Elephas maximus indicus: one gene and its partner. The protein of the gene in region 2 interacts with the protein of the main gene of each other region in a biochemical or structural test. Links are inferred from orthologs where the notes say so. Each region holds a gene or a part of one and is shown on either strand. Other genes may lie near its edges.

Evidence for each region.
Region 1: the proteins of plasma kallikrein-like (region 2) and KNG1 form a complex in vitro, tested with the Homo sapiens proteins (4 studies listed by BioGRID). The link is inferred for Elephas maximus indicus from reciprocal best matches to the Homo sapiens genes KLKB1 and KNG1.

What each region holds. Positions count from the first base shown.
Region 1 is NC_064819.1:28,294,911-28,310,646, forward strand, and holds the start of KNG1 (kininogen-1), read right to left. Parts: upstream 8,670-15,736; 5' UTR 8,477-8,669; coding exon 8,282-8,476; intron 6,157-8,281; coding exon 6,046-6,156; intron 5,044-6,045; coding exon 4,962-5,043; intron 1,045-4,961; coding exon 872-1,044; intron 1-871. Other genes in the region: HRG (histidine-rich glycoprotein), read right to left, coding at 14,352-15,158. UniProt on the Homo sapiens protein: Kininogens are inhibitors of thiol proteases.
Region 2 is NC_064840.1:80,125,575-80,141,229, forward strand, and holds the start of plasma kallikrein-like, read right to left. Parts: upstream 7,657-15,655; coding exon 7,580-7,656; intron 5,721-7,579; coding exon 5,614-5,720; intron 4,296-5,613; coding exon 4,136-4,295; intron 3,679-4,135; coding exon 3,569-3,678; intron 1-3,568. UniProt on the Homo sapiens protein: Participates in the surface-dependent activation of blood coagulation. Activates, in a reciprocal reaction, coagulation factor XII/F12 after binding to negatively charged surfaces.

The DNA of each region.
Region 1 (15,736 bases), on a different chromosome or scaffold from region 2:
CAGGCATTTACATTTTTGTCTGATGATATTCTCATGGCAACCCCGTGTGTGCAGACTAGAACTGCACTCCATGGGGTTTTCAAGGCTGTGACCTTTCAAAGCAGGTTGCCAGGCCTGCCTTCTGAGGCATCTCTGGATAGGCTGAAACCACTAACCTACTACTCGGCTAGTAGTTGAGCACTTAACCATTTACACCACCCAGAGACTCCTTGTTTGATGATATAGAAACTATAGATTAGAGGATACTGAGAAAGCCTGGCCAAACTTTTTAGACACGATTTAACATTTCAGAGATATTGTTTAACTCATGATAGCTAGGTGAGGATATGGTTTTCTTAAAATCATAAGGCCAGAATGACGTTTCCACTTTATTGTCTCCAGAAAAATATACGTAATGCTTACTGCGCATTCATTCAGAACACAACTCAAAGCAAGTGGTTTGATTAGCTACCTTTTTCCCTTTACATATTTCAGTATCCTAATCACTTGGATTAAAAAGAAAACCCTTTGTCTCCTGTGCCAGCGATATAAAAACATGGAAGAGTTCCTCACTACCCAACAAAACCCATTTCCATTGAGTCAATTCTGACTCATAGCCACCCTATAGGACAGAGTAGAACTGTCCCATAGGGTTTCTGAGGAGCAGCTGGTGGATTCGGACTGGCGACCTTCTGGTTAACAGCCGAGTGCTTAACCACTGCACCACCAGGGCTCCTCCTCATTACCAGTAGTGTAACAACACGTTTTCCTTTGGCAAATGGTGTATTTTAGTTAATGAGGCCTTAAACATAAAGATTTAGCAAATTCTAACAATACTGTGTACATGAAAGATTAAGGAACAAACCTGTCTATGAAAGATTAAGGAACAAACCTGTCTATGGGCCTTCTTCACTTCCTGAAGAGCAAAGAGGTAGGGGTGCTCAGTGTTGTTGTTAAAGTACTCAATGGCGTGTCTCAGAACAGGCTCCAGGTCGGGGCTGTCTGTCGATATAGGGTGATCACATCCAACGCAGGTGTACTCTTTCATCACTACAGGGCCCTCGGCTTAACAAAGAGCGGGCCAAAAGGCCGAGTTAAAGGCTAAAACTAAAAAAAAAAAAAAAAAAAACCCAAACTCTGCTGTCGAGGGTTTCTGACTCACAGTGACCCTAAAGGACAGAGTAGAACCGCCCCATAGAGTTTCCAAGAAGCGCCTGGTGGATTTGAACTGCCAACCTTTTGGTTAGCAGCTGTAGCTCTTAACCACTACGCCACCAGGACTTCCTTAAAGGTTAAAGCCAGGCTTTATTTTCCAGCACTCAGATACATTGCCCTTAACAAATAAGATACTTTAGAAGGCCCTAATAAACAAACTTGCCAATAAACCATAGGGTACAATTAGGAAAAAAGAGAATGTAAGGCTGTTTTTCAGTTAGAGGATTTAAAAAACAAAACAAAACAGGAAACCATTGCCCTCGAGTTGATTTTGGTTTGCGGCGACCCTGTGTGTGCAGAGTAGAACTGTGCTGCACGAGGTTTTCAAGGCTGTGATCTTTTGGAAGCAGATCGCCAGGCCTTTCTTCTCAGGTGCCTCTGGGTGGGTTTGAACTGCTAACCTTTTGCGTAGTAGCTGAGCTCTTCACCATTGACACCACCCAGGGACTCCATCAGAGGGTTTTTAGTCAGAGGGAAAAAAAATCACTCATTCATTTTTGTTAGTTGCCATCAAGTCAATTCCGACTCATGGGGACTGTACGTGTGCAGAGTAGAACTGCTCCATAGGGTTTTCAAGGTTGTGACCTTTTGGGAGCAGATCGCCAGGCCTGTCTTCAGAGATGCCCCTAGGTGGGTTTGAACCACCAACCTTTAGGCTAGTAGTCAAGTGCTTAAACATTTGCACCACCCAGAGACTCCAATTATTCTCTTAGGCATATCTTATACACACAATATATACCTTGTTATTTTAATTTATAAAGTTATTTCAAATTATACAAGTAATACATGAATTTATCCACTCAGGAAAAAAATAAAACATTACAGATATTATTTATTTTTTAGTGTTCAGTAAAGCCCCTTGAAGCCTGGCTTAGGGTTGAATACATTTTGCATCCGTTTACATCAACAATATGCCAGGTGCTGAGCTAGGCTGCGTGGATACACTAACATGTTAGTGACGGCCACTGTCATGAAGGGGATTCCAGACAAGCAGAGGGGCAGACCTGTAGAGAGGTCACTTCAAGATAACTCGGTAATAGCTGCAAAGGCAGGGGCAGAGAGTGAGATGAGGGAACCTTTTCCTGAGAGGAAGATGGCTGAGCTAAGAAGAATGAACGGGGGTGAACCAGGCAAAAAGAGGTGGGAAGCTGTGGGGAGAAGGAATGGAAGACTCCCCGTGGGATGCGTGTCTACATGTGAGCCACATGTTACCAGCCCAAGAAGTGTGAGGCACAGGGGTGTAATCTGAGGCCTGATTCTACTTTTGAGCCTGAACCTCCCTCTAGGCCAGGGGTTGCTAACTATATTCCAAGTGCCATGGACTCTCTGGCGAATCTGATAAAAGCTATGGGCCCCTCCACAGCCAAATGCATGTTATGAATTGAACCGTATCCCCCAAAAATATGTATTGTAAATTCTACTATGCCTGTGGTTATAATCACATTTGGGAATGAGTTTTCTTTGTTATGTTAATGGGGCAGTATTAGTGGACCCCGTAAAACCATACCCATTGCCATCGAGTTGATTCCGACTCATAGAGACCCTATATGACAGAGTAGAACTGCCCCACAGGGTTTCCAATGAGTGCCTGGTGGAGTCGAACTGTTTCCTTTTGGTTAGTAGCTGTAGCACTTAACCACTACGCCACTAGGGTTTCTAGTATTAGTGTAGGATGTGTTTTAAATCGATCTCTTTTGAGGTATAAAAGAGCAGATTAAGCAAGCAGCTAAAAAGTGAAGGTGGAGGGAGAGAGATTCCATGCCACATGAAGATCACCAAAGAGCCAAGGAACAAGGGACTTTCCCCAGGGCTGACAGAGAGAGAACTTTCCCTAGACTTGGAGCCCTGAATTTGGACTCATAGCCCCTAAATTGTGAGAAAATAAATTTCCGTTTGTTAAAGCCACCCACTTGTGGTATTTCTGCTACAGCAGCACTAGGTTACTAAGACAATGTATATGCTCAGAACATTTTCCATACAGTTTCAGGGTATTCACAGACCCTCTGAAGTGAATGAAGAATGGTCTGCTCTAAGAACGGGGAGCCAGTGAAGGGTTTTTAATGACAATTAAGCTATGAAGCAGAAGTTTGTACTAAATTACCAAGCGATGTGGATAACGAATAGCCCCCAACATGGCGGCCAATGGAGGCAAATGCTACAGTACAGAAAGGGAAAAGTGGCTGAAGCATGAGTGCTATACATGAATCCCCGCCTACGAGTCCTAGGCTTCTACACCCAGCAGGCCCACAGCCATGTGCTGACTGCAAATGTATGTCAAGAAAAAAATTACTGGGTAAATATGTATAGCTTTGTTCCCTTTCCTTTTTGTAGAAAGTCATGTGGAATCAGGGTAACAAGCGATGTTAAAAATCTGGAGGGCAATTGTACTGGAAAGATAATTATTTTTTATCTAGAAGCTTTTATTAGAAGATGAACAGGGGTAAGAGAAGAGACGGAGGCACCTTTGCTGCGTAGAAGGCTTTGAGGGTGAGAGGAGTAGAGAAAGATATTAAACCCCATTTTGGGGGGGGGGGATGACAGAATCATTTTCCAATATACAGCAACAATTCTGGAGGTTTTTCTAAAATTCAAATAGAGATTTCAATTCCTTGTGATTTCTTTTCTATTCTGGAGTGTTTTACACTGAATGTGACTTCTTGCAGGAATGGAACCCCAAGGCAAAGGAGATATTCTGGGTTGCTTATGGATGACAAAGACCATAGACCTGCCACGAGGGTGATGTTCAGTTGTGAAGCCTGAAGATGCTATTCTACAGGCCTCATGCACTAAAACACTACCTTTCAGGGGGCCAATTGCAGGAAGGCTTGTTCAATTGATACCCCCAGCTCTGCCCCTTCCTCTGTACCTGGCACTTCTGCCACATGAGGGAGGAGCTAACAGTGGTTGTATTTGTTGATCCATTGCTCCGTAATTATATCCTTAAGGAATTTCGTTTATTGAGAGTCCACTCTTCCAGCTACTTACTAGCTATGGAATCCTGGGCAAATTACTTAACTGCTCTGGGCCTCAGCTTCCTCGCCTGTAAAATGGGCTGATAGTTACACCTACTTCATAGAGTTGTTGTGAGGATTAAGTAAGTTAACACGTGTAAAGTGCTTAAAACTGTGCCTGGAATGTAAGCCCCCAATCCATGTTAGCTAGTCTGGTTTTTATGATTAATACAATATTATGGTTGCTAGGTTTGGGTTTTTTTTGGGTTTAGATATTGCACCTGTCTTATAGGGTGGCTATGAGTTGGAATCCACTCAGCCACAATGGGTTTAGGCATTGCACCTTCTGGCGTATCGCCCTGTTTCAGTCTCACAAAAATCCTGTGAAGCGGGAATTACCGTTATCCACCTTCTACAGAGGAGGAAAAGGAAAGCTGAAGGAATTTGAGAGGCCTGACCTCAAAGCCTGTGATTTTCTCGCTGTAGGGTGCTGCCCAGCATTGAGGGCGGGTCTTGTCTTCTTGTCTTTGTGCGAGGTACCTAACACAGCGCCTCACAGGAAGAAGAGCGTCGGAAAATAGTGCTGAGGGGATGACCGGCGTGAGCCTGGCCCCGACCTCAAGACTCTGCGTGCTCCTCCAGCGCCCTCTCCCGGTCCCCCTCACCCAGACGCTGCAGCTGTCTCGCTACTGCCGCCCTCCAGCAGGGGGCGCAGGCCTGGCCTAGGTTGTCCCTGGCACACCAAAAACGTTAAACCAAAAACAGAAATGGTGGATTCTCCCCCGTGGCAGCGCTGCCACCGTAGGTATCAGCTACCTGGAGTAATCTGGCAGGTCTGGGTAGCAACGATGAATTTTGTATCTTTCCCCTTCACTGTCGCTGTGCATTCCCCTGTGGCCTAAAAAGAAAGAAGAGACAGAGTGAGTACTTATCTTAATCTTTTGGGCCGAGAAGTCTACCTAACCTGTTGCCAACAAGTTGATTCCAACTCACAGAGATCCCATAGGACAGGATAGAACTGCCCCATAGGGTTTCCAAGGCTGTAATCTTTCCGGGAGCAGACTGCCACATCCTTCTCCCGCAGAGCTGCTGGTGGATTAGAACCACGACCTACCGGTTAGCGGCCGAGCACTTTAGCCACTGCTCCACCAGAGTACGAAGTCTACCTAACAAAAAAAACTTGTTGCCATCCAGTCGATTCTGACTCATAGCGACTCGATAGGACAGAGTAGAATTGCTCCATACGGTTTCCAAGGAACTGCTGATAGATTCAAACTGCCTACCTTTTGGCTAGCAGCCCAGCTCTTAACCACTGCGCCACCAGGGCTCTAGGATCTGCACTAAGGCCTGTGCAAGTTGGAGCACCCACCCTTTCCCCTTTCCAGCCTTTGAGCTCAGCATAAGTGTCAATCTCTCATCTCTCCGGGGTGGGGTCCATATGTCCTGCTTGGTCATCAGAGCCCGCTTCTCACGGGAGTGGAGTCCCTGGGTGGTGCAAATGGTCAAGCACTCAACTACTAACTGAAAGGTTACAGGTTCAAGTCCACTCAGAGACGCCTTAGAAGACAGGCTTGGTGATCTGCTTCTGAAAGGTCGCAGACTTGAAAACCCTATGGAGCAGTTCTACTCAGAATCAACTGGACAGTAAGTGGTTTGGTTTTTGGTTTTCTCATGGGAGAGCTTCTTTCTCCATGTTTAACTGGTGGCCGGCCTCCCGTCCCTTTCTGTCTATGCGAGAACATAGACATCAAGCATTTGACTTTTCTACAATCTGAGTGTTTATGTGGATTCCCCATAAGCGGGCTTAGAACCATAATTTAATCATCCCCTGCACAAGTACACAAGCCTGGCAAGCTCAGAAAACACGGGAGGTGTGGTAACCATCCCCGAATGAACTTACAGCTTCCGAAGCTTCTTTGTAGTCACAGTCTTGCCAGGTTTTGCCACTTTGAACAGGACAATCACCCTCCTTGATTTCGTACTTGAAGGAATAAAATGTGCCAGAGCTTTCCTGAAAAAAAAAAACGCAACCAAACATATCTTTGTTCATCCCACCAACCCAACAGCATGTAATCGGAGTGGGATCTGGTGTTGTTATGAATATTTGATCTTGATTTGATTCAGTGATGTCAGGTGAAGGGTACTGAAAGTTATAAATATTTACTTGGGAAAAAATATTCACAATATATTGGCAAATATGTTTTTTAAAGTTTACAAAGCAGTAACCACAGTATTAGCTCACTTTTTTAAAAGCCAACTTATATATTCATAGATAAAAAAAAGCTGTTGCCTTGAAGTTGCTCCCGACTCATAGCGACTCCATGGGACAGAGTAGAACTACCCCATAGGGTTTCCAAGAAGCGCTTGGTGGATTCAAACTGCCAAACTTTTGGTTAGCAGGCCTTCCATATACACATATGTCTACAAAGGTCTGAAAGGGTATGTATGCAGCAAGCTGTTAGGAGTTTGTCTCTTGGTGGTAGGATTACAGTAGGCTTTTACTTTCTTCTTTAAATAAACCTTCCTGCATTGTCTGACTGCTTTTTAACAAACATGTTACTTTTTTCCCCTCTTATTTTAACTTTATTTATTATTCAAACATATCTTACTTTTGGAAACCCTGGTGGCGTAGTGGTTAAGTGCTATGGCTGCTAACCAAAAGGTCAGCAGTTCCAATCTACCAGGCACTCCTTGGAAACTCTATGGGGGCAGTTCTACTCTGTCCTGTAGGGATGCTATGAGTGGGAATTGACTTGACAGCAGTGAGTCTATTTTGCAGGGGGGGGGTTATCTTTTATGATTAGGCAAATAAAAGAGGTCTTTATTCATTTCTGAAAAAAAAAGAAAGTGAACAGTTATCTCTGGATGATGGGGTTAAGGAATTTTAATAAATGCATTTGCTTTCCTCCCCCCCCCCCCGCCCCAGGTCATAAGGTAATAAATGAGAGTTTTCAAGTGCTAAAAAAAAAAAAAAAAAACTCTTTTTATTTTTTTTATTGTGCTGATTCAGGTGAGCTTTCAGGTATAAGGTCCTAGCATGTCCCAGCAGCAAGGGACCTGAGAGGTGATGTTGTCCAGCCCCTCATTTTGCAGATGAGAGAAGGGAGGGCCCAGATAATGGAGTCAAACAAGAGAATCTTGAGAATTCCTTCCAGGTCTTATAAAGCTTATAAAGTCTTATAAAGTTCATTCGTGTCTTATAAAGCAGTAAGTGGTATGGTATAGGCTGTGCCCACAGGGGGAAGTAAGAATAAAGAAGTGGTTTTATGGATGTTTGAGAACAAAAAACCACATTTGCCACAAATTATCAGCAAATGGAGACAAAACCAACAAACTGTCATGTGAGCACCCCGGGAAGGCTGGAGGGTCATTTTAGTCGTATCTAGAGCTTCGGAACTTGGCACTCCCCATGTGAGTATGTCAGATTGTGAAACACAATAGCACAACTTTACCTTCAGAAAAAAAAAAAAATTAAAAATATCCACTGTGGCTTTTTTCTTTAGCCTCTTGATGTGAAATGGTTGGAATTTTTTTCCCCCACTGAAGTAACCAATGGCTTTACTATTCCAGACACATAACACTTTACAGTGAAATTCATTGAAACAAATCCTGGGAAGCTTTGTGTTTCTTTGTATCATGCATCCTGCTGGGATCATTGCAACGGCATCATTGCAGTGCTAAAAATTATTAAAAACCAACTAAACACTGCTGTTAACTGGATGCATTCAACCATGTTATTCTCACTTACGTCTTCTCTTAGATTCTTAGGAACCCCCTCCCCCCTGAGGTGTGGAGGACTTTATTTATTTCTTACCCAGGCAGTGGATACTCTTGCTATAGCCCACCTGAGTTCCTGGATCTTCCATTCTGCTTAGTCCTTTTAATTCCGTTTACATTTGTTTCATTTCACCTGAGCAAACTTCCTCTCTGATCATCTGGGTAGCCAGTGTTAGTGGTCCCAGGACTAGTCATACGCTGCCTTCCTAGACCAGAGAGTTTGGCTTTTTCCAAGGTGTAAGCGTCTGCCTTTGCTTATCAGGTCTTGGGGGTAGGCAACTGGGGGAAAGCAAAAGACCTGGACTTGGTGGGACAGCACAAATCCCAAATGACCTCAAGGTCAAACACAGCTCACTCACCGTCTTGATGACCTGGGTTATACGGTACAATACAAACTGGTTGCCGCTTTGGTTTTGACCGTTATATTTCTTCAGTGCAGCATTCACAGCCTTAAAAACTTCCTCGTTGTTACAGTCAATGTCCGTTGAGAAGGGTTCCTGGGTCAAACTTGGGAGCAGCCTGGAGCAGAGGAAGAGGATGGCGATTAGTTTCATGATTTAACAGTCTTCCCTCTAGCTGTTGAAGGGTGGTTTCACCAAGAGTGTCTCCGGTCCCTTATTGCCTCTGCCCTCTCCTCTCTGCCTCAGCGCTCTGTGGGCCTGCTTGAATTCCCACTACCATGCACTGTTTTGCCCTATTCCAGAAGGGCAAATAGCACTGCTGGGTTATCCAAACAGGTTTCTAACTGGAACATTTCAACACTGGGGTTGTTGCCCTGCTTGTTTGCATTTTAAAAGCATGGGGGTTGTAGGAGGGGGGTACAGAGCACCTGTCCATGTGATTACACAACATGCTTTATCGAGCAAATCGGAGCAGCACCTAAAAAGGAAGAGGAAAGAACCATCAACTAGCTCAGTTATTTCCTTGTGACTCTCCCAAAGGCATTTAAAAAGGGCCCTGCATATAACAACAATGCACCACTGCAGAAACACCTCTCACAGTAGAATTTCTTTGCAGGCTATTTGCATAGAAACAGGCTACTAACAATCAGATTGCATGCCTGGGGAAGCCCATGCTCAGAGGAATAAAGTGAACACTGAGAGTCCCAAAGCAAGACATTGGCACAACTGAAAATAAATTATGGGCATCCTGGGAGCCCTGGTGGGGCAGTGGTTAAGAGATTGGTTGCTAACCAAAAGGTTGGCAGTTCGAATCTACCTGCCACTCCTTGGAAACTCTATGGGGGCAGTTGTACTCTGTCTTATAGGGTCTCAGTGAGGTGGAATTGACTTGACTACAACAGGTTTGGATCTGGTCTCTGGTTCATTCAGCCTCTTTCCACTTGGCTTGTTAGTCTGTAAAGGAAAGCACTCTCCAGGGTGAACGAGGCAGAGGAGAAGCCTAAGCACAGATAGAGGTCTTGCGTGAAGCCCTGAAGCCCCTATCTTTGCTTCTTGCCTCTGTTTAGGTGAATATGGGTGTCTTTCCCTCACTAGGCCTAAGCAACCTTTTTGATAAAGTTGGACTATCCAGGGAGAGGAAAATCCTGGTGGCATAGTAGTTAAGAGCTACAGCTGCTAACAAAAAAAATGTCAGCAGTTTGAATCCACCAGACACTCCTTGGTAACACTATGGGGCAGTTCTACTCTGTCTTATAGGGTCACTATGAGTCGAAACCAACTTGATGGCAATGGATTCAGGGAGAGGAGGTCTGTGGATAGTTTAAAGAGTTGGGTTATCGCTTAGTAGGGCTTTCTTACTGAAAAAAAAAAAAAGGTGACTTCTTTGTTGTTGTTGGCAGGATTTCTAGCTTGGAGATTCAGTCTCCCTGACAGCCTCTGGAAAACAGAGGTCGGTGTAGGCTGAGTGGTGGCCTTGAAACAGTGGCAGGAACATGAGCTTGGCAGTAAATCCAATCTGGATTCCAATCTAACTCTGCTTCTTAATTGTTATGCAACCCTGATTTTCTAAGCCTTAGTTTCCTCATCTGTAAAATGTGGAAAGTAATACCTATATTACTTTTTTTTTTTTGAGGGGTAGATGAGGTAATATATGTACCAAAGCCAAACCAAACCTGTTGCTATCGCGTGGATTCCAACTCAGAGCGAACCTATAGGACAGAGTAGAACTGCCCCTGTAGGGTTTCCAAGGAGTGCCTGATGGATTCGAACTGCAGCCCTTTTGGTTAGCAGCCTGAGCAATTAACCTATGTACAGGGATTGGTAATTAGTTTTTACAGATTATACTTACTATTAGAGTAGAAAAGGAGCCTTGGTGGTACAGTGGTTAAAATAGTCACCTGCTAGCCAAAAGGTCAGTGGTTCGAACCCACCAGCCGCTTTGCAGAATATGTGGTGGTTTGCTTCAATAAAGATTATGGTCTGGGAAACCCTATGGGGCGGTTCTATGCTGTCCTTTATGGTCGGTATGAGTCAAAATTGACTCGATGGCAACGGGTTTTATTAGAGCGGGATAGTTAAGAATCTCTGTCTTATTGAAGCAGTTTCAGGCAGGGCTTAGAACCGGTTTGTTCCGGTTCGAACTCCTGCTGAGAATTTACATTTCCATAGATATACTGAATCAGAATCTACATTTCAACAAGATCCCCAGGTGATTCTTACGTCTAATAAATTTTGAGAACCACTGCTCATCTGGGAGTTTGTTAGAAATGCAGATTCTCAGCAGGGGTTCAAACCAGAAGGAACCAGTTCGAAGCCCTGGTTTCAGGTACATGGTGATGGTAGAAGGTGCATTCTAATGGAGAGATGTAGGGAAAAAAAATTAAGGGTGAAAGTAACTTAGGTAAGTTCTTAGGCTGAGAGGAAAGGCGAACCAACAGAGATGGAGAAACTGAAGCTTGGGGAGTGAAGAAATGACTGATGTGGCTTAGTCCAGGAGGAGTTGGAAGTCAAGGCTCCACATGGCGGGTGTTTCAAATAAAGACTAGAAAACAGGACTTGGCAGTATTCACAGGCAGTATAATAAAGAGGGAAGAATGTGGGCCTTGAAGGAGGGTTGATCAGGGTTCTAATCCCAGTACCATAATTTACTAACTATAAGGCCCTCTTTGGGTCTAATCATTCTCTAAAATATGGTGATTGTGGTAGTGGCTGGCTAGGTATTCATCAAACTCATTTTTCTTTCCTCCTTGGCATACAGCTAGACTTCATTTCTCATCCTTCCTTGCGTTAGGCGTGGCCATGTGACTGAGTTTTAGCCAGTGAAATGTGAGCATACCTTTTGTATCCCATTTCCAAGTCTAGCCCATAAAAACCACCCATGTGCTGCTCTACTCTTTCCCTATGTGTGCTAGAAAAAGAGGATCCAGGAGAAAACACTGAGGCCTACCAGAAGGGCAAAGCCACAAGATGAAAGGAGCCTGAGACCCTGAATCACCATGTGGATGGCCATCTGTAAATAACCCACACTGAACAGTTACATGAGAGAGCAATCAAATCCTGTGTTGTTAAGCCACTGTGCTTGTTACAGTAGCTGGCCTACTCATACAATGATATTACCTGTCTAAGTGAGTTGTTGTAAGGATTAAATTACTTAACATATTGTTGTCCAATTAGGGTCCGTGCCCTGGAGCAGTCGAGCCAATGAAACGTACTCCAAGTCAGAAAGCGAGAGAAAATTTATTTAGAAGGTGACACCAAAGGAAAGTTCTGCAGCACGGCAGACTGTCTTTATGGAGTCCCAAAAGGCAATTTCACGTTAGAGCTTGTATATAGCTATTGCAAGGGTTACGAAGTGTCTTTTGGCAGGTAGCCCACAGAAGGCCCAGCCCGATGAGTTATTCATTACAAGGTAATTACAAGAGACTTTTTATCGGATAAAGAGATACATGCTGGACATCTCCTTATCAGGCTAAAGATACACATGCCAGACACCTGGGCTCTAATCTTCACGTAGGGGTGTAAGTCATAAGTGGCCAAACAGAACAAAACAAAGTCATTAACAAAAGTATGCGGAAAGGAGAAGGCAGGCAGAAAAAAACTTAAAGGTTCATCATGGTGTTAGTTACGTCAAGCTCTCAGTCGCTCATTTGAAAAGGTGAAAACCTATTGTGGAGTATTAGGGTCACAATATGAAAATCTCCTGACTGACATGCTTGCTATATACACTGACTGAACAGATATTTCTAGAGCACCTAGTATGTTATAGGCACTGTAGTGAACAAAACCAAGTCCTGGCAGTCATAGATTTTACTGGTGATAAAGCAAAGGGAAGAATCAAGAAAGATTTCTTGTCTATCAGTCTCAAAAAATGATAGCACACTGGCGGAAAGGGTGATGTTGGGAAGCAGAAGAAGAAATTTTCTGGAGTAGTTTCTGGAGCCTGAGGCATTTGGGCTTTAGACATTTGAGAAGGTAGTCATACTATCTTGACCCTGTTAACATCGCCTTTGGAAGTTGATGGAATGCATTTTTATAAACAAACATTCATATACTCTTTAGCCGTCATGACACAGAAAATCTAGAAAAGCAGCAGTCCTTGGTGTTATTATCTAAAACCTTTAGCAGTATGTAAGCTCCCCAAAGCTCCCCAAGGGTAAGGACTGTTTCTTACCCCTGCTTTTCCCCTGAAGCAACTGTGTTTGTATATTACAAATGCATTTATTTGAAATGAATTGAGAGTCTTCCACTTTTATGTTTTCTAGGTAATATTTTCATCAACTTAAGCAATGTTTGTTAAAGTACTTTACAAATGATAAGACATTACTCAAATACTTCTGAGGGAGGATAATACTTTGAATTATTAACCTGTGTGTTTTTTTGACCTCCTTGGACCTTTTTTTTTGGACCTGGATTTTACCTTTCTCTACTCCCCATTCAGTCAGTCAACCCTACATTTATGCCTCCATGGAGGGATGTGTTTCTGCAGGGTCAACATTCAGCTGGTGCCACCAGTATGGCCACACTGTTTGTTCATGGCTGGCGACTGTTCTGATTGGCTGTTAACATCTGGTCTGATCGTTCAGTGCTTGTGTCATATTGATTTTTAAATATTTTGAGTGTCACCACTCTGGCTGGAAGGTAGGGCTGACCTGACATCATATTGGCCTGTTTCTAAATGCTCAAGCTTGGGTTTGGAAAGAAGGGAAAAGAAAGCACCTTAGAGTGTGGATAAAGTGTTCTCCAACCCCAAAGTGAATACAGAAGGACTTAGCTGAGACTAGAGCCCTGGTGGCAGAGTGGTTAAGAGCTTGGCTGCTAACCAAAAGGGCAGCAGTTCGAATCTACCAGTGGCTCCTTGGAAACCCTATGGGGCAGTTCTACTCTGCCCTATAGGGTCACTATGGGTCGGAATCAACTTGATGTCAGTGGGTTCTGTTTGTTTGTTTATCTGAGACTAGAGGGGGTAGTGAGAGAGTACCTAGCTTAGGGAGAAGAGATGAGTAGAGCATAAGGGCCCGGGGGTTCCTGAAGCAGAGGCCTTTCTGAGCGTGCAGTCTGGAAGGTAACCAGATCCCAGAAAGAGAATAGTCGTATGGTATATTGGCAGTCATGCCCATTAGCAGTCCCACAGAGTCTCCTATCTCCCCAGTTTGATACAGACGTGGCAGATAAACTAGACCCAAAGAGTGATGGGAACAGGGTGGTGGGTATCCCTCAGCAGGGAAGACCTGGTGGACAAATGACCAAGAATCAGACATCCTTCCCATGTCCATCACCAAACACCTTGCCAATATGTGAGATTCTGGAACTGTGTTGCAACCTTTTGTGGGGAGTGACAGGGTGGGGGACTCCAAAAATGCCTGGGATTAAGTTTTCCATTAACCCAGCAGGATGGCAAGCTGAAATAGAAATTAATTTGTTCTGAAGAAAAAGCGAAATTTCTTGTGCACCTGAATTTATGGTCATGATTCATGCCTGCATCAGTGTTTGAATGTAGGGTTGGCTGACTGAACGGGAAGTAGAGAAAGGTAAAACCCAGGTCCAGGGAGGCCAAAAATTACATTTCATAATTGGGTTGATAACTTATTTTTTCAAAGGAAAATTAGATGGCAAGAAATAAACAGTGGAAGACAATTTGAGTAACATTTGTAAGAATAATGCTTTACGTGATACATAACTTCTTGGTATGCCCAACTATAGTCATAAGCAGTAACACAGATAAAAACCCTAGAATTAAGGAGTTAAGTCCAAGAAAGAAAGAAATTCTGAGGACTGGAGATTTGCCTGGAATGATGTAGTAGTCAGTGACAGGATGAACTATTGACTTGTAGTCCTGAGATCTTTCATCTCGTTCCTACTTCTCTCTCTCTTTTCCTGCCATTTCCTCCCCCACCTACATTTTACTCTATTCTGAGTATGAAAGTAAGGTTTAAATAACTTGTAATTTTTGCATTTATTATGGGTCATACTTTTATTTATAGTTCAAAGTCGGAACATTATTCATTTCTTCCTTCAAGGAAATCAGATTTTATTTTGGAATTGTATTTTCAAAAAACTGCAGAAGTTGTAGAAACTCATTGTTGAACTTCCCTGGACATGATTCAGAGGCTGACTGAGGGAAGGGCTGAATCTTTGGCTTCAGGGGATTGTTTTGGCTTGGCAATGACTGCTTGGGAAAATTGGCTTCAGGAGGAGAAAGAACTTCACCTTTGTTTAGTGGGGGGAGCCGGTAAACATATCCAACTTGTCTCCAATGGAAGATAAAGGGTCCTTTACCTGGGCCTCTTTCTTTTGGATGCCTAGGTGGCAGGTCATGGCGAGGGTGATCACGGGGACCTTGGTAATAGGGTGGTGGGTCACAGGGTGTGTGGCCATGGAAATTGTCACCATGGGGATGGTGTCCGTGGGGAGGGTGTCCGTGGGGGGGATGTCCGTGGGGAGGGGGTCCGTGGGGAGGGGGTCCGTGGGGGGGGTGTCCATGGGGCGGGGGTCCGTGGGGTGGGTGTCCGTGGGGTGGGGGTCCATGAGGCGGGGGTCCGTGGGGCGGGGGTCCGTGAGGCGGGGGTCCGTGGGGAGGGTGTCCGTGGGGCGGGGGTCCGTGGGGGGGGTGTCCGTGAGGCGGGGGTCCGTGGGGAGGGTGTTCGTGGGGCGGGGGTCCGTGGGGGGGGTGTCCGTGGGGGGGGTGTCCGTGGGGGGGGTGACCGTGGGGTGGGTGTCCGTGGGGGGGGTGTCCGTGGGGAGGGGGTCCGTGGGGATGATCCTCATGGGGATGATGTCCACCAGAGTGGAATGGATGGCCCAAATAGTGTTGTCCACCACTGAAATTTCTATGTTCCTGGTAAAAAAAAAAAAAAAAAAACATGGAAAATGAATATCATCATGTAACACAAAAGGTGAAGTCAGATTTTAGACTAATAGTCCCCACACTTTTGGACTCTAATCAATTTAAAAAGAAGGATACCAACCAACGGCTGTCAAATTTTTGTCTAACCAAGTTGGCATTTAAAATACAAACATAAACTATCATCTACCACCATCATTACTTCACAAAACGAAAAGCATTTTGACAACAAATGGATTTGAAAGACAATCTCAGAATAAAGAATGGTCCTTTAGATGGAATAAATGTTGTATTATGAAAAACTTTGTCATCCTTACTTTTCTCATTTCAATATAAAGTGGTGAAACTATGTTATGGAATGGCACCTATCTGCTAACCAACATCTGGAAACTAATATTTTCCTTTTTTAAAAAATTGTACTTTAGATGACAATTTACAGAGCAAACTAAAAAAAAAAAAAAAAAATTAGCTTCTCATTAAACAATTAATATACATATTGTTTTTTGACATTGGTTGCCAACCCCACGATGTATCAACACTCACCCCTTCTCAACCTTAGGACCCCAAATACC
Region 2 (15,655 bases):
TTTTATAGTACATTCTCTATTTCAAACATACTAACTGGTTCTTCTCAGAAATTGCAATTCTATCATCCGTCTCCAATTGCCAGACTACCTTTCCCATCGAGAGGTGACAAAAAGAAGAAATAGTTTTCCAGTTTGTGTTTTATTATTATTAGTTTGAGAAGTATGTTTACCATCTTAATAGAGGAATTGATGGGTATTATGATAAGAGTGGGAAGAACATGCACGGCATTTCTCAAGCTTAAAGAACTGAAGAAAAAATTCAACCCTTGAGCACAATATTGAAGGATTCTACAGGGAAAATACTAAATGATGCAGGAAGCATCAAAAGCAGATGAAAGGAATAAAAACAGTCACTGTACTGAAAGAATTGGCTGACATCCAACCATTTCAGGAGGTAGCATATGATCAAGAGCCAATGGTACTGAAGGAAGTCTAAGCTGCACTGAAAGCATTGGCTAAAAACAAGTCTCCAGGAACTGAAGGAATACCAATTGAGATGTTTCAACAAACAGATGAAGGGCTGGAAGTGCTCACTCATCTATGCCAAGAAATTTGGAAGACAGCTACCTGGCTAACCAACTGAAAGAGATCCACGTTTGTACCCATTCCAAAGAAAGGCGATTCAACAGAATGCAGAAATTATCAAACAATATCATTAATATCACATGCAAGTAAAATTTTGCTGAAGGTTATTCAAAAGCAGTTGTATCAGTACATCACCAGGAGCTGCCAGAAATTCAAGCAGTATTCAGAAGAGGATATGGAATGAGGGATATCATTGCTGATGTCAGATGGATCCTGGCTGAAAGCAGAGAACCAGAAAGGCGTCTACTTGTGCTTATGGACTATGCAAAGGCATTTGACTGTGTGGATCATAAAAAAATTATGGATAAAATTGTGAAGAACAGGAATTTCAGAACACTTAATTGTGCTCATGAGGAAGCTGTACTTAGACCAAGAGACAGTCTTTCCAACAGAACAAGGGGATACTGTGTAGTTCAAAATCAGAAAAGGTGTGTATCAGGGTTATCCTTTCACCATACTTATTCAATCTGTATGCTGAGCAAATAATCCAAGTAGTTGGACTATATGAAGAAGAAAGGAGCATCAGGACCGGTAGAAGACTCAGAAAGAACCTGTGATATGCAGATCACGCAAACTTGCTTGCTGAAAGCAAAGAGGACTTGAAACAGTTACTGACTAAGACAAAAAAACACAGCCTTCAGTATGGATTACACCTCAACACAAAGAAAACAAAAATCCTCACAACTGGACCAATAAGCAACATCATGATAAACAGAGAAAAGATTGGACTTGTCAAGGATTTCATTTTACTTGTATCCACAATCAATACCCATGGAAGCAGCAGTCAAGAAATCAAAGGAGGCATTGCACTGGGCAAATCTGGTGCAAAAGAACTCTTTAAAGTGTTAAAAAGCAAAGATGTCACTTTAAGGACTAAGGTGCACCTGACCTAAGACATTGTGTTTTCAATTGCCTCATATGCATGTGAAAGCTGGACAATGAATAAGGAAGACAGAAAAACAACCGATGCCTTTGAATTATGGTGTTGGCGAAGAATATTGAATATACCATGGACTTCCAAAAGAATGGACACATGTCTTAGAAGTACAGCCAGAATGCACATTAGAAGAGAGGATGGTGAGTCTTTGTTTCGCATACTTTGGACATGTTATTCCGAGGAACCAGTCCCTGGAAAAGGACTTCATGCTTGATACAGTAGAGGGTCAGGGAAAAAGAAGACCCTCAATTAGATGGATTGACTCAGTGGCTGCAACAATGGGCTCAAGCATAGCAACAATTGTGAGGATGGTGCAGGACCAGGCAGTGCTTCATTCTGTTGTACATAGGGTTGCTCTGAGTGGGAACGGACTTCATGGCACCTAACAACAACAACAACATGATAAAAGTTACCACTATTGAGTTGCAAATAGTTTATTTATTTAACTTAACTGGAGAAGTGCGATTCTTCTGAGCACTTTTAAATCCATACAGAAATTTGGGCAAGAAGAGAAGGAAGTTGTAAATATAATTAGTTTGATATATGGGTTAAGACTAGAAGACTTTACATTAAAAAGGGGGAAAGGGTATGAAATTTGTGACCTAAAGACCCAGGTTGAAGTCCTGGCCCGTATGTCCTTGAGCACAACATTTCAACTCTATGAGCCTCATGTTTCTTGTCTATCAAATTACGTCCTTGAAGAAACAGAACAAACTTCTAGTAATGGCTACAAATCACTAACTTGGGAATTTCAAGTGGGCAGGCGGCTCCAGAGGCTTACTATAGGTATAGAATGCCACTGGCTACTAGATGTTCCCTGAGGAATGTTGAAAAGTGACCACTAAAAACAATAACCTTAGCAGGGCACAACATTTCCTGAAATGTCCAGGATTTTTCTCTCTCTGTGAAGGCCTTTTAATTAAAGTAATATGTGAACTCATTGCAATTTAATGAGGAAACCAAGCACAGAACAGGATAATTGTTGACAGAGGACAGAAATTGGCTATATGGGGTGCTTTTTCAGACCATGGATAGCAGTGTAGAATGGCCCGAGGGAGGGGCCTGACCATGCCAGCTCCCTGGAAGAGTGCAACAAATGCCTTCAACAACAGTGCTGTGTAAAGAACAGAAGATTTCTAAATAAAAATCTTCAAGAAGCCTCACAGGGAAAAAAAATAAAAAGGACTATTAGTAGCAATCACTGAATTTGAAGCAATAAATATGGCACACGCTGCGGAGGGAATATACTGAAGGAAGAGACAAATGAGAGGAAAGTTGCCCACTTCCAATCTTCCATAGAATGGCCATAGCCCAAAAGCCAGTATAGGGCTTGGCACAGGGTAAGCACTTGGTAATGCATAGAATTGGCTTTGTTTCAACAACATCTTGTCATTAACACCTCGATATGCTAATTAAAGTAGAATGTCATGGCAACTTTCTGGATTCAAATAAAATTACATACATGTCTGAAATGACAGGGTTTTGATCCACTATGATAGACTCATTTTCTAGATACAGACATCACCAAGAAAAACCTTGTAGTTTCCTGTACGGTAGTAATTTCTTCTTGCTGTAACAAATTTCTGAAAACTTAGTGACTTACAAATTTATTATCTTACAATTCTGCAGGTCATAAGTCCACAGCGGGGTTTGCTGGGATAAAGAAGAGGCTCCAGAGGAGGCCGCTTCCTTGCTTTTCACCTTCTAGAAGCCACCAGTTTCCTTGGCTCGTGCTATTCACCCCGTCTTCAAGCTAGCAGTGTAACGTGTTCAAATCTGTCTCTGGGACTCTTTATCTCATGAGGACCCTGTGAGTACTTCAGACATGCCCAGATAAACCAGGGGTATCCCCCTACCCTCCCATTCTCAAAATCCATAACTTGCAAAACCCCTTTTGTCATGTAAGGTCACATATCCACAGGTTCCGGGAATTAGGTCACAGACATCTTTGGGGTAGGGGGGAGGATGGTGAGGAGGGAGGCGTGTGTGGGGGGTCTTCATTCCGCCCATTACCATTGCATAGTGAAGCAGTAGCCTTACAATTACCTATTTCTGAGCGTGCACAGGGCTTCAGTGAGAATCCAGACACCACATTATCCAGCAGCTTTATACTGGTCGGTGTTCCTCTTGGGCTACTCTTTAATAAGCAATTGTTCCTGAATATGAAGAAAAGGGGTTATTTTGCTTCCTAAACTTCAAGGTGTGCACTGCAGTACAAAATATTTTAGCGTCAGAATTATGAATGGGCAGTGGAAAATAAACAATAATTAACAGTGACCCTGCTAATGAGTAAGCTCGAGATTTGCATTACGAAACAAATAGACATCCTTCCGCTCTGCAGAGGCAAGGTTAAGGTGGGAATGGGAGACCTTATTCTACAAAACCCCGGTAACTCAAAGCCCCTAATTTCACAAGCAGAGCCTATCTGTGGACCAAGTGGACTTAGTCTCTTCAGGAAAAATGACATCAAAACTGAGTAAGTAAATAAGAAGAGTGGTTAGGTATAAAAACCCTGTTTTCGATTTCAACTGAAAAAAAAAGGAAAAGAGGTTATGAAGAATACAATTACATTCTAAAGGCACCTCCAGAAAGAACACTGTGAATTTTACTCACCGGAACTCTGCACTGGGAAATGTTTGTGTGGCATACGTGAAAAAATGGCAGTGAATGTTATTGGTACACCTTTTCTGGCACTCTTCAACACTTCTAACTTTAGACACATTAAAATTGGTTCCTCTCATATCAATTCCTTTATAAGTATCTGGGTGGCAAGCTGCAGGAATAAATGCACAGGGCCAATGTAGTCAGCTTCTTTTCTACAGGTAGGCTGTCAACTCTTCACACGTTTGGGTAAGATGGTTTGAAAGGAGGTTCCTATTTGGCAACTTTCCTTTTATTTGGGTGCCCTAAAATTTTTATTGCTTCCTTTAATTATAAAACCTCGCTTGAAATAAACGTATTCTGACTCCCCCTTCCCTGCCCCACCACCTCTAGAACGCTAGCGTTGACCCTTTAACCGAGTGGAGGAATTTCTTTGTCTTATTTCTCAACATTTTCAGCTACTCCCATCTGATTGCATCCTTGCAATGGTAAGCCCTCTCGTTGACATCCACGTGTCAAATCATTGTCACAAAAGGTGGAGAGTTCTGGTCTACGTGTGATAAAGCCATTTCTATTCCTGCTTTAAAAGTTTGTTAAATTCGATTTAAGCACTCTTTTTATTGAAATGTACCTTATACACAAAACGATGTAGATAATCCTTTTAACAGCAAACCAAGTGAGTGAGTTACATATATATATATTTTTAATTTTACTGAAGACTCAAATTTCTTAGACTTTTGTTTAAGGAAACTAGATAAACAGAACAAAGGATACTGTGTGCAATTTCCCACTTCTGAGAGACAGGACTGATGAACTCATAATGCTCAATCTTAAATCCTTAAGGTGAGAAAGACAGAAAAAACCAACAGGAAAGCAAAATACTGAGGAGGAGGGCAGGGGTGGATTATTCGCAGTGGTTCATGTACATGGAAATTTGAAGACTATGGAAATGAAATACTTTTCCAACTTTGCTGAACGTGGGAAATGAAATAGGTTAATAATTGGCATGAGATATTTACTAATTGCAACTTTTATTCATGGGTAGCTGAAAGCTATAAACTCACCTGATTTTGGACCTGATTGTGAGAGTGTCTTGATTATTAACCAAAACCAAACCAACTGTAGTCAAGTCAATTCCAACTCATAGTGACCCCATAGGACAGAGTAGAACTGCCCCATGGGGTTTCCAAGGAGAAGCTGGTGGATTCGAACTCCTGACCTTTTGGCTAGGAGCTGAGCTCTTAACCACTGTGCCACCAGGGCGCCGTATAAATAATACAGGCTCATTAAGCATGCCTTGCCTGGTGAAGATAAGAGCATGGTCAAGATGAACATGGCTTCCTCTGTTAGGTCCAGAATACTGCCCTGTATCTGTTATTTTTCTGAAGGCACCCTTCCAAGAGTCTGTGACAGTCCAGACTCTGAACAAAAATTACTCTAAGGTAGACCCATTATTAATTCAAATTTAGCGAAAAATTTCCGCAACTTACCACTGATGTAATGTCCACAGTGCTTTAGGGAATGTCCGGAAATTGCCCCAGCCTTTGGCGCCCTTGGAAGGATCCCTGTCGTGCTTTCTTTCAAGAAGCAACCAAACCTGTTTTTAAAATTGGCTTCACTCAGAAGGTAGAAGAACAAACAGGCATCGAGGTAATGGCTAGCATTTTCTATGCACTAATGATAAGGAAAAACCCAGTTTCCTGGATACTTGATAGAAAGTGGATCCTTAGAGGCAACTGCGTAATATCTAAGCGTCACTGTAATGCCTAACAAACTGGGACGTGGATTTTCTTTATAGTCACATTTTTAAGTGCAGAAAACCAACCAGATTGAAAAATTAATGATTTTTCCTTTGCTCCAGAACTTCCAGGAAATTTTGTTGTCACCTGGTGATTATTTTTCTAAATGCTTTAGCCCTTGGCTGCTAACCAAAGGGTCTGCTGTTCAAATCCACCAGCCGCTCCTTGGAAACCCTATGAGGCAGTTCTGCTCTGTCCTATAGAGTCACTATGAGTCGGAATCGACTGGACAGCAACGGTTTTTTTTTTTTTTTCTTTTATTTAAGAAATGAAATTAGTCAGAACAGTTGAGTCTATCTATGGTGCTCATTTTGCTTATTAACTATTCGTAGACTGCACCTAATGGAATGCTTCTTTTGATATTTAATGTCAATTTTAATGTTAAATTCATTATTCACCAGGATTCTAGAACCAAACTCAGCATTTAACACGGTGCCTCTGAGGTAATGTCTGGGTTTTCTGTACAAGTTTAACACACAGGGTCAGGCGATGATTGCGTGATTCCTAGTTCTTAAAGTCAAACAGGGTGAAGATAAAACAAAAGAGCTATAAATGGAAACAACAAAAAATAGTCCATTCTGGATACTGATCAAAATTAAAGATAATTAAAATGAGACTATGGCTGTATCTAGGCATCCTCATGGTCTAATAAACGTTTTAATCACCAACTATTTTTCCAGTGGTCTTACTTTTCCAACCTATAAGTTAACGCATACATATTCGCACACACACACACACACACCCTAGGTCTACCAAGTAGGCCTCCATTCACTGCTGCTGTCTCCCAATGTCACAAGTTCTAGACCTCACCCACCTACATTCTCAACAAAATGCTGTCTTAAGTTCTATTTTCTTAGGACTGTGTTATATACAAATATTCATAGTGGGTGAGACGGTAGTATTTTTCCTCGTTCACATGAAACGTATGCCTGTTATCAGGCCCTTTCCTGAGATCCTTGTGTCCTTGGATAGAAAATAATTACCTTCCACTACTTTTAAGTGAATGCAGCCATTGTTGAAGATGCAGATTTCCAGGCATCAGAGACCTTGGTTCGGTAGGTGGGGCCTATGAATTTGCATATGCAAAAGCCACTTCAGTTGATTCTGACCACACTGTTCCTAGAATCCCGTCTGAGAAATGTAACCCCATGATAAGCTAAATCTTTTTGCACAAGAATGGTTCCATTTTGAAAAGCGATTGGCTTCCTCAATAATGAAATACCAGGGATCACGATAGAAGGTCCCAAACAGAGATGGAGAAAAACGTAGGACAAAATTCTAACTCACAAAAAAAGACCAGACTTACTGGTCTGACAGAGACTGGAAGAAACCTGAGAGTATGGCCCCCAGACACCCTTATAGCTCAGTGCTGAAGTCACTCCTGAGCTTCACCGTTCAGCCAAATATTAGGCCCATAAAACAAGACTCACTGGGGGCACCAGCCCAGGGACAAGGACCAGAAGGCAGGAGGGGACAGGAAAGCTGGTAATGGGGAACCCAAGGTTCTAGAAGGGGAGAGTGTTGACATGTCTTGGGGTTGGCAACCAATGTCACAAAACAATATGTGTATTTGCTGTTTAGTGAGAAACTAATTTGCCCTGTAAACCTTCCCCTAAAGCACAAAGAAAAAAATAATAACGATGAAATACCAACTTACCTTTTGTGTATATCATTAGTTGAACTTGCAGGAAGAAAACTGAAAAATAAACACCTGGGGTGGAAGGTGCATGTCATCTGACAGTGCTGGGCATCTGGGCTATACAAGGAGACCACATCCCCACCTCGGAAGAAGGCATTCTTATACAGCTGAGTCATGCATCCTACGACACAATCATAAAAAAGAATCCAAAATTTTTTAATCCAATAATTTGTAATGGATGCAATTAATAATTTTATCAGAAATGGGTCTGTGTTCTGAATCTTCATCCGCTGAATGTCCAGCACGACGTTAACACTACAGGTAGAATGAAACAGACATCAAGGCAATACTTCAAATAATATTTAATGTAATTGGGTGTTTCTGTCTGAAAAACTTGGCTGATTTTTACTAAATCATATGACAATTTTGCACATAAACTGTCTCCAAGTAAACATAACCTTAGCTTGGCTTCTCCCTGTCAACTAACCATGGAAACATCATGCCTTACATATAATGATGTATGATCTGTTTTTCAAAACTCTTTCATAACAAACATCCCCAATAGATTCTTACAACCACTTCATAAAAGAAGCTAAAACCAAACCCATTGCCACTGAGTTGATTCCAACTCATAGCAACCCCACAGGACAGAACAAGGAGTGGCTGATAGATTTCTTGTTAGCAGCCAAGCTCTTAATCACTATGCCACCAGAGCTCCAAGGAAAGAAAAAGGCAGACTTTATTATCTGCTCTCATTTTTTTTTAAAGAAGTAACTGAGTCTCAAGGTAACCTGCCCAAGATCACACAGCTAACGAATGCCCTGGGACATGGGTCCAGCTCTTCAGACTCCCAATTGCCGTCACTTTTTCTAAGGTGCAGCGCTCATGTTGTTCTTCGTCCGTGGTTTAATTCAAGCAAAGTAATAATTCCGGGTATTTTTCACTTTAGAGATCAGCCCAGTTGTTGCTGTTGTTGTTAGGTGCCGTCGAGTCGGTTCCAACTCATAGCGACCCTATGCACAACAGCACGAAACACTGCCCGGTCCTGAGCCATCCTTACAATCATTGTTATGCTTGAGCTCATTGTTGCAGCCACTGTGTCAATCCACCTTGTTGAGGGTCTTCCTCTTTTCCGCTGACCCTGTACTCTGTCAAGCATGATGTCCTTCTCCAGGGACTGATACCTCCTGACAACATGTAAGACACAGTCTCGCTATCCTTGCTTCTAAGGAGCATCCTGGTTGTACTTCTTCTAAGGAAGATTTGTTCGTTCTTTTGGCAGTCCATGGTATATTCAATATTCTTCGCCGACACCACAATTCAAAGGCGTCAACTCTTCTTTGGTCTTCCTTACTCATTGTCCAGCTTTCACATGCATATGATGTGATTGAAAATACCATGGCGTGGGTCAGGTGCACCTTAGTCTTCAGGGTGACATCTTTGCTCTTCAACACTTTGAAGAGGTCCTTTGCAGCAGATTTGCCCAATGCAATGCGTCTTTTGATTTCTTGACTGCTGCTTCCATGGCTGATGATTGTGGATCCAAGTAAAATGAAATCCTTAACAACTTCAACCTTTTCTCCATTTATCATGATGTTGGTCATTGGTCCAGGTGTGAGGCTTTTTGTTTTCTTTATGTTGAGGTGTAATCCATACTGAAGGCTGTGGTCTTTGATCTTCATCAGTAAGTGCTTCAAGTCCTCTTCACTTTCAGCAAGCAAGGTTGTGTCATCTGCATAACGCAGGTTGTTAATGAGTCTTCCTCCAATCCTGATGCCCCGTTCTTCTTCATACAGTCCAGCTTCTCAGATTCTTTGTTCAGCATACAGATTAAATAGGTATGGTGAAAGAATACAACCCTGACGCACACCTTTCTTGGCTTTACACCAATCAGTATCCCCTTGTTCTGTCCAAACAACTGCCTCTTGATCTATGTAAAGGTTCCTCATGAGCACAATTAAGTGTTCTGGAATTCCCGTTCTTCGCAGCGTTATCCATAGTTCGTTATGATCCACACAGTCAAATGCCTTTGCATAATCAATAAAACACAGGTAAACATCCTTCTGCTATTCTCTGCTTTCAGCCAGGATCCATCTGACATCAGCAATGATATCCCTGGTTCCACGTCCTCTTCTGAAACTGGCCTGAATTTCTGGCAGTTTCCTGTCGATATATTGCTGCAGCCGTTTGTTTGTTTGTTGGTTTTTTAAATAATTTTTATAGCGCTTTAAGTGAAAGTTTACAAATCAAATCAGTCTGTCACATATAAGCTTATATACACCTTACTCCATACTCCCACTTACTCTCCCCCTAAGGAGTCAGCCCTTCCAGTCTCTCCTTTCGTGACGGTTTTGCCAGTTTCTAACCCTCTCTACCCTCCCATTTCTCCTCCAGACAGGAGATGCCAACACAGTCTCAAGTGTCCACCTGATACAAGTAGCTCACTCTTCATCAGCATCTCTCTCCAACACATTGTCCAGTCCCTTCCATGTCTGATGAGTTGTCTTCGGGAATGGTTCCTGTCCTGGGCGAACAGAAGGTTTGGGGACCATGACCGCTGGGATTCTTCTAGTCTCAGTCAGACCATTAAGTATGGTCTTTTTATGAGAATTTGGGGTCTGCATCCCACTGTTCTCCTGCTCCCACAGGGGTTCTCTGCTGTGCTCCCTGTCAGGGCAGTCAGCAGTTGTGGCCGGGCACCATCTAGTTCTTTTGGTCTCAGGACGATGTAAGTCTCTGGTTCATGTGGCCCTTTCTGTCTCTTGGGCTCATAGTTATCGTGTGACCTTGGTGATCTTCATTCTCCTTTGATCCAGGTGGGTTGAGACCAATTGATGCATCTTAGATGACTGCTTGTTAGCATTTAAGACCCCAGAAGCCACACTTCAAAGTGGGGTACAGAATGTTTTCATAATAGAATTATTTTGCCAATTGACTTAGAAGTCCCCTTAAGCCATAGTCCCCAAACCCTCGCCCTTGCTCCTCTGACCTTCAAAGCATTCAGTTTATCCCGGAAACTTCTTTGCTTTTGTTCCAGTCCAGTTGAGCTAACCTTCCATGTATTGAGTATTGTCCTTCCCTTCACCTAAAGTAGTTCTTATCTACTAACTAATCAGTAAATAACCCTCTCCCACCCTCCCCCCCTTCCCCCACATAACCACAAAAGTATGTGTTCTTCTCAGTTTATACTATTTCTCAAGATCTTATAATAGTGGTCTTATACAATATTTGTCCTTTTGCATCTGACTAATTTCACTCAGCATAATGCCTTCCAGGTTCCTCCATGTTCTGAAATGTTTCACAGATTCATCACTGTTCTTTATCGATGCGTAGTATTCTATTGTGTTAATCTACCATAATTTATTTAATCATTCATCTGTTGAGGGACACCTTGGTTGCTTCCAGCTTTTTGCTATTGTAAACAGAGCTGCAATAAACATGGGTGTGCATATATCTGTTCATGTAAAAGCTATTATTTCTCTAGGGTATATTCCGAGGAGTGGGATTTCTGGGTTGTATGGTAGTTCTATTTCTAACTTTTTAAGAAAACGCCAGATAGATTTCCAAAGAGGTGGTACCATTTTACATTCCCACCAGCAGTGTATAAGAGTTCCAATCTCTCCGCAGCCTCTCCAACATTTATTATTTTGTGTTTTTTGGATTAATGCCAGCCTTGTTGGAGTGAGATGGAATCTCATTGTAGTTTTAATTTGCATTTCTCTAATGGCTAAGGATCGAGAGCATTTTCTCATGTATCTGTTAGCTGCCTGAATATCTTCCTTAGTGAAGTGCGTGTTCATATCCTTTGCCCACTTTTTGATTGGGTTGTTTGTCTTCTTGTGGTTGAGTTTTAACAGAATCATATAGATTTTAGAGATCAGGCGCTGGACCGAGATGTCATAGCTGAAAACTTTTTCCCAGTCTGTAGGTGGTCTTTTTACTCTTTTGGTGAATTCTTTAGATGAACATAGGTGTTTGATTTTTAGGAGCTCCCAGTTATCTGGTTTCTCTTCGTCATTTTTGGTAACGTTTTGTATTCTGTTTATGTCTTGTATTAGGGCTTCTAACATTGTCCCTATTTTTTCTTCCATGATCTTTGTCGTTTTAGTCTTTGATCCACTTGGAGTTAGTTTTCGTGCATGGTGTGAGGTATGGGTCCTGTTTCATTTTTTTGCAAATGGATAACTAGTTATGCCAGCACCATTTGTTAAAAAGACTATCTTTTCCCCAATTAACTGACACTGGGCCTTTGTCAAATATCAGCTGCTCGTATGTGGATGGATTTATATCTGGGTTCTCAATTCTGTTCCATTGGTCTATGTGCCTGTTGTTGTACCAGTACCAGGCTGTTTTGACTACTGTGGCTGTATCATAGGTTCTAAAATCAGGTAGAGTGAAGCCTCCCACTTTGTTCTTCTTTTTCAGTAATGCTTTACTTATCCGGGGCTTCTTTCCCTTCCATATGAAGTTGGTGATTTGTTTCTCCATCGCATTAAAAAATCTCATTGGAATTTAGATCGGAAGTGCATTGTATGTATAGATGGCTTTTGGTAGAATAGATATTTTTACTATGCTAAGTCTTCCTATCCATGAGCAAGGTATGTTTTTCCACTTATGTAGGTCCTTTTTAGTTTCTTGCACTAGTACTTTGTAGTTTTCTTTGTATAGGTCTTTTACATCCTTGGTAAGATTTATTCCTAAGTGTTTTATCTTCTTGGGGGCTACTGTGAATGGTACTGATTTGGTGATTTCCTCTTCGATGTTCTTTTTGTTGATGTAGAGGAATCCAGGTGATTTTTGTATGTTTATCTTATAACCTGAGAATCTGCCAAACTCTTCTATTAGTTTTAGTAGTTTTCTGGAGGATTCCTTAGGGTTTTCTGTGTATAACATCATCTCATCTGCAAATAGAGATAATTTTACTTCTTCCTTGCCAATCCAGATGCCCTTTATTTCTTTGTCTAGCCTAATTGCTCTGGCTAGGACCTCTAGCACAATGTTGAATAAGAGCGGTGATAAAGGGCATCCTTGTCTGGTTCCCATTCTCAAGGGAAATGCTTTCAGGCTCTCTCCATTTAGAGTGATGTTGACTGTTGGCTTTGTGTAGATGTCCTTTATTATGTTGAGGAATTTTCCTTCAATTCCTATTTTGCTGAGGGTTTTCACCATGAATGGGTGTTGGACTTTGTCAAATGCCTTTTCTGCATCAATTGATAAGATCATGTGGTTTTTGTCTTATTTATATGGTGGATTACATTAATGGTTTTTCTAATATTAAACCAGCCTTGCATACCTGGTATAAATCCCACTTGGTTGTGTTGGATTATTTTTTTGATATGTTGTTGAATTCTATTGGCTAGGATTTTATTGAGGATTTTTACATCTATGTTCATGAGGGATATAGGTCTGTAATTTTCTTTTTTTGTGGTGTCTTACCTGGTTTTGGTATCAGGGATATGGTGGCTTCATAGAATGAGTTAGGTAGTATTCCGTCATTTTCTATGTTTTGAAATACCTTTAGTAGTAGTGGTGTTAACTCTTCTCTGAAAGTTTGGTAGAACTCTGCAGTGAAGCCGTCCAGGCCAGGGCTTTATTTTTGTTGGGAATTTTTTTATTACCTTTTCAATCTCTTTTTTTGTTTATGGGCCTATTTAGTTGTTCTATTTCTGATTGTGTTAGTTTAGGTAGGTAGTGTTTTTCCAGGTATTCATCCATTTCTTCTAGGTTTGCAAATTTGTTAGAGTACAATTTTTTGTAATAATCTCATATGATTCTTTTAATTTCAGTTGGGTCTGTTGTGATGTGGCCCATCTCATTTCTTATTCGGGTTATTTGTTTCCTTTCCTGTATTTCTTTAGTCAGTCTGGCCAATGGTTTATCAATTTTGTTAATTTTTTCAAAGAACCAGCTTTTGGCTTTGTTAATTCTTTCAATTGTTTTTCTGTTCTCTAATTCATTTAGTTCAGCTCTAATTTTTATTATTTGTTTTCTTCTGGTGCCTGATGGATTCTTTTGTTGCTCACTTTCTATTTGTTCAAGTTGTAGGGACAGTTCTCTGACTCTGGCTCTTTCTTCTTTATGTATGTGTGCATTTATCGATATAAATTGGCCTCTGAGCACTGCTTTTGCTGTGTCCCAGAGGTTTTGATAGGAAGTGTTTTCATTCTCGTTGCATTCTATGAATTTCTTTATTCCCTCCTTAATGTCTTCTATAACCCAGTCTTTTTTCAGCAGGGTATTGTTCAGTTTCCAAGTATTTGATTTCTTTTCCCTGATTTTTCTGTTATTGATTTCACTTTTATGGCCTTATGGTCTGAGAAGATGCTTTATAATATTTCGATGTTTTGGATTCTGCAAAGGTTTTTTTTATGACCTAATCTGTGGTCTATTCTAGGGAATGTTCCACATGTGCTAGAAAAACAGGTTTACTTTGCAGCTGTTGGGTGGAGAGTTCTGTATAAGTCAATGAGGTCAAGTTGGTTGATTGTAGCAATTAGGTCTTCCGTGTCTCCATTGAGCTTCTTACTGGAAGTCCTATCCTTCTCCAAAAGTGGTGTGTTGAAGTCTCCTACTATAATTGTGGAGGTGTCTATCTCACTTTTCAGTTTTGTTAAAGTTTGTTTTATGTATCTTGCACCTTGTCATTGGGTGCATAAATATTTAATATGGTTATATCTTCCTGGTCAATTGTCCCTTTTATCATTATGTAGTGTCCTTCTTTATCCTTTGTGGTGGATTTAACTTTAAAGTCTATTTTGTCAGAAATTAATATTGCTACTCCTGCTCTTTTTTGCTTGTCGTTTGCTTGATATATTTTTTTCCTTCCTTTGAGTTTTAGTTTGTGTCTCTAAGTATAAGGTGTGTCTCTTGTAGGCAGCATATAGATTGATCGTGTTTCTTTATCCAGTCTGAGACTCTCTGTCTCTTTATTGGTGCATTTAGTCCATTTACATTTGGCGTAATTATAGATAAATATGTGTTTAGTGCTGTCATTTTCACGCCTTTTTGTGTGTGTTGTTGACAATTTCATTTTTCCACTTAATTTTTTGTGCTGAGACGCTTTTCTTTGTAAATTGTGCATTCCTTATTTTTATAGTGGTTGAATTTATGTTTGCTGAGTCATTATGTTTTTTTTTGGTTTTTATTTTGAGTTATGGAATTGTTAGACCTCTTTGTGGTTACCTTAATATTTACCCCTATTGTTCTAAGTAAAAACCTAACTTCTATTGTCCTATATCACCTTGTTTTCCTCTCCATATGGCAGTTCTATGTCTCCTGTATTTAGTCCCTCTTTTTGATTATTGTGATCTTTTACATATTGACTTCAATGATTCCCTGTTCTGAGAACTTTTTTCCTTTTAAAAATTAATCTTAATTTGTTTTTGTGATTTCTCTTTTTGAGTTGAATCAGGATGCTCTGTTCTGTGACCTTGTGTTGTGCTGCTGTCTGATGTTATTGATTTTCTGACCAAACAATTTCCTTTAGTATTTCTTGTAGCTTTGGTTTGGTTTTTGCAAATTCTCTAAGCTTGTGTTTATCTGTAAACGTTTTAATTTCGTGTTCATATTTTAGAGAGCGTTTTGCTGGATATATGATCCTTGGCTGGCAGTTTTTCTCCTTCAGTGTTCTGTATATGTCATCCCATTGCCTCCTTGTACTGCATGGTTTCTGCTGAGTAGTCTGAACTTATTCTTATTGATTCTCCTTTGTAGGAGACCTTTCTTTTATCCCTGGCTGCTTTTAAAATTTTCTCTTTATCTTTGGTTTTGGCAAGTTTGTTGATAGTATGTCTTGGTGATTTTTTTTTGGATCAATCCTATATGGGGTTCGATGAGCGTCTTGGATAGATATCCTTTTGTCTTTTATGATGTCAGGGAAGTTTTCTGCCAACAGATCTTCAACTATTCTCTCTGTATTTTCTGTTATCCCTCCCTGTTCTGGAACTCAAATCACACACAAGTTATTCTTCTTGATAGAGTCCCACATAATTCTTAGGGTTTCATCATTTTTTTCAATTCTTTTATCTGATTTTTTTTCCAGCTATATTGGTGTCAATTCCCTTCTCCTCCAGCTCCCCCACTCTGCATTCCAAT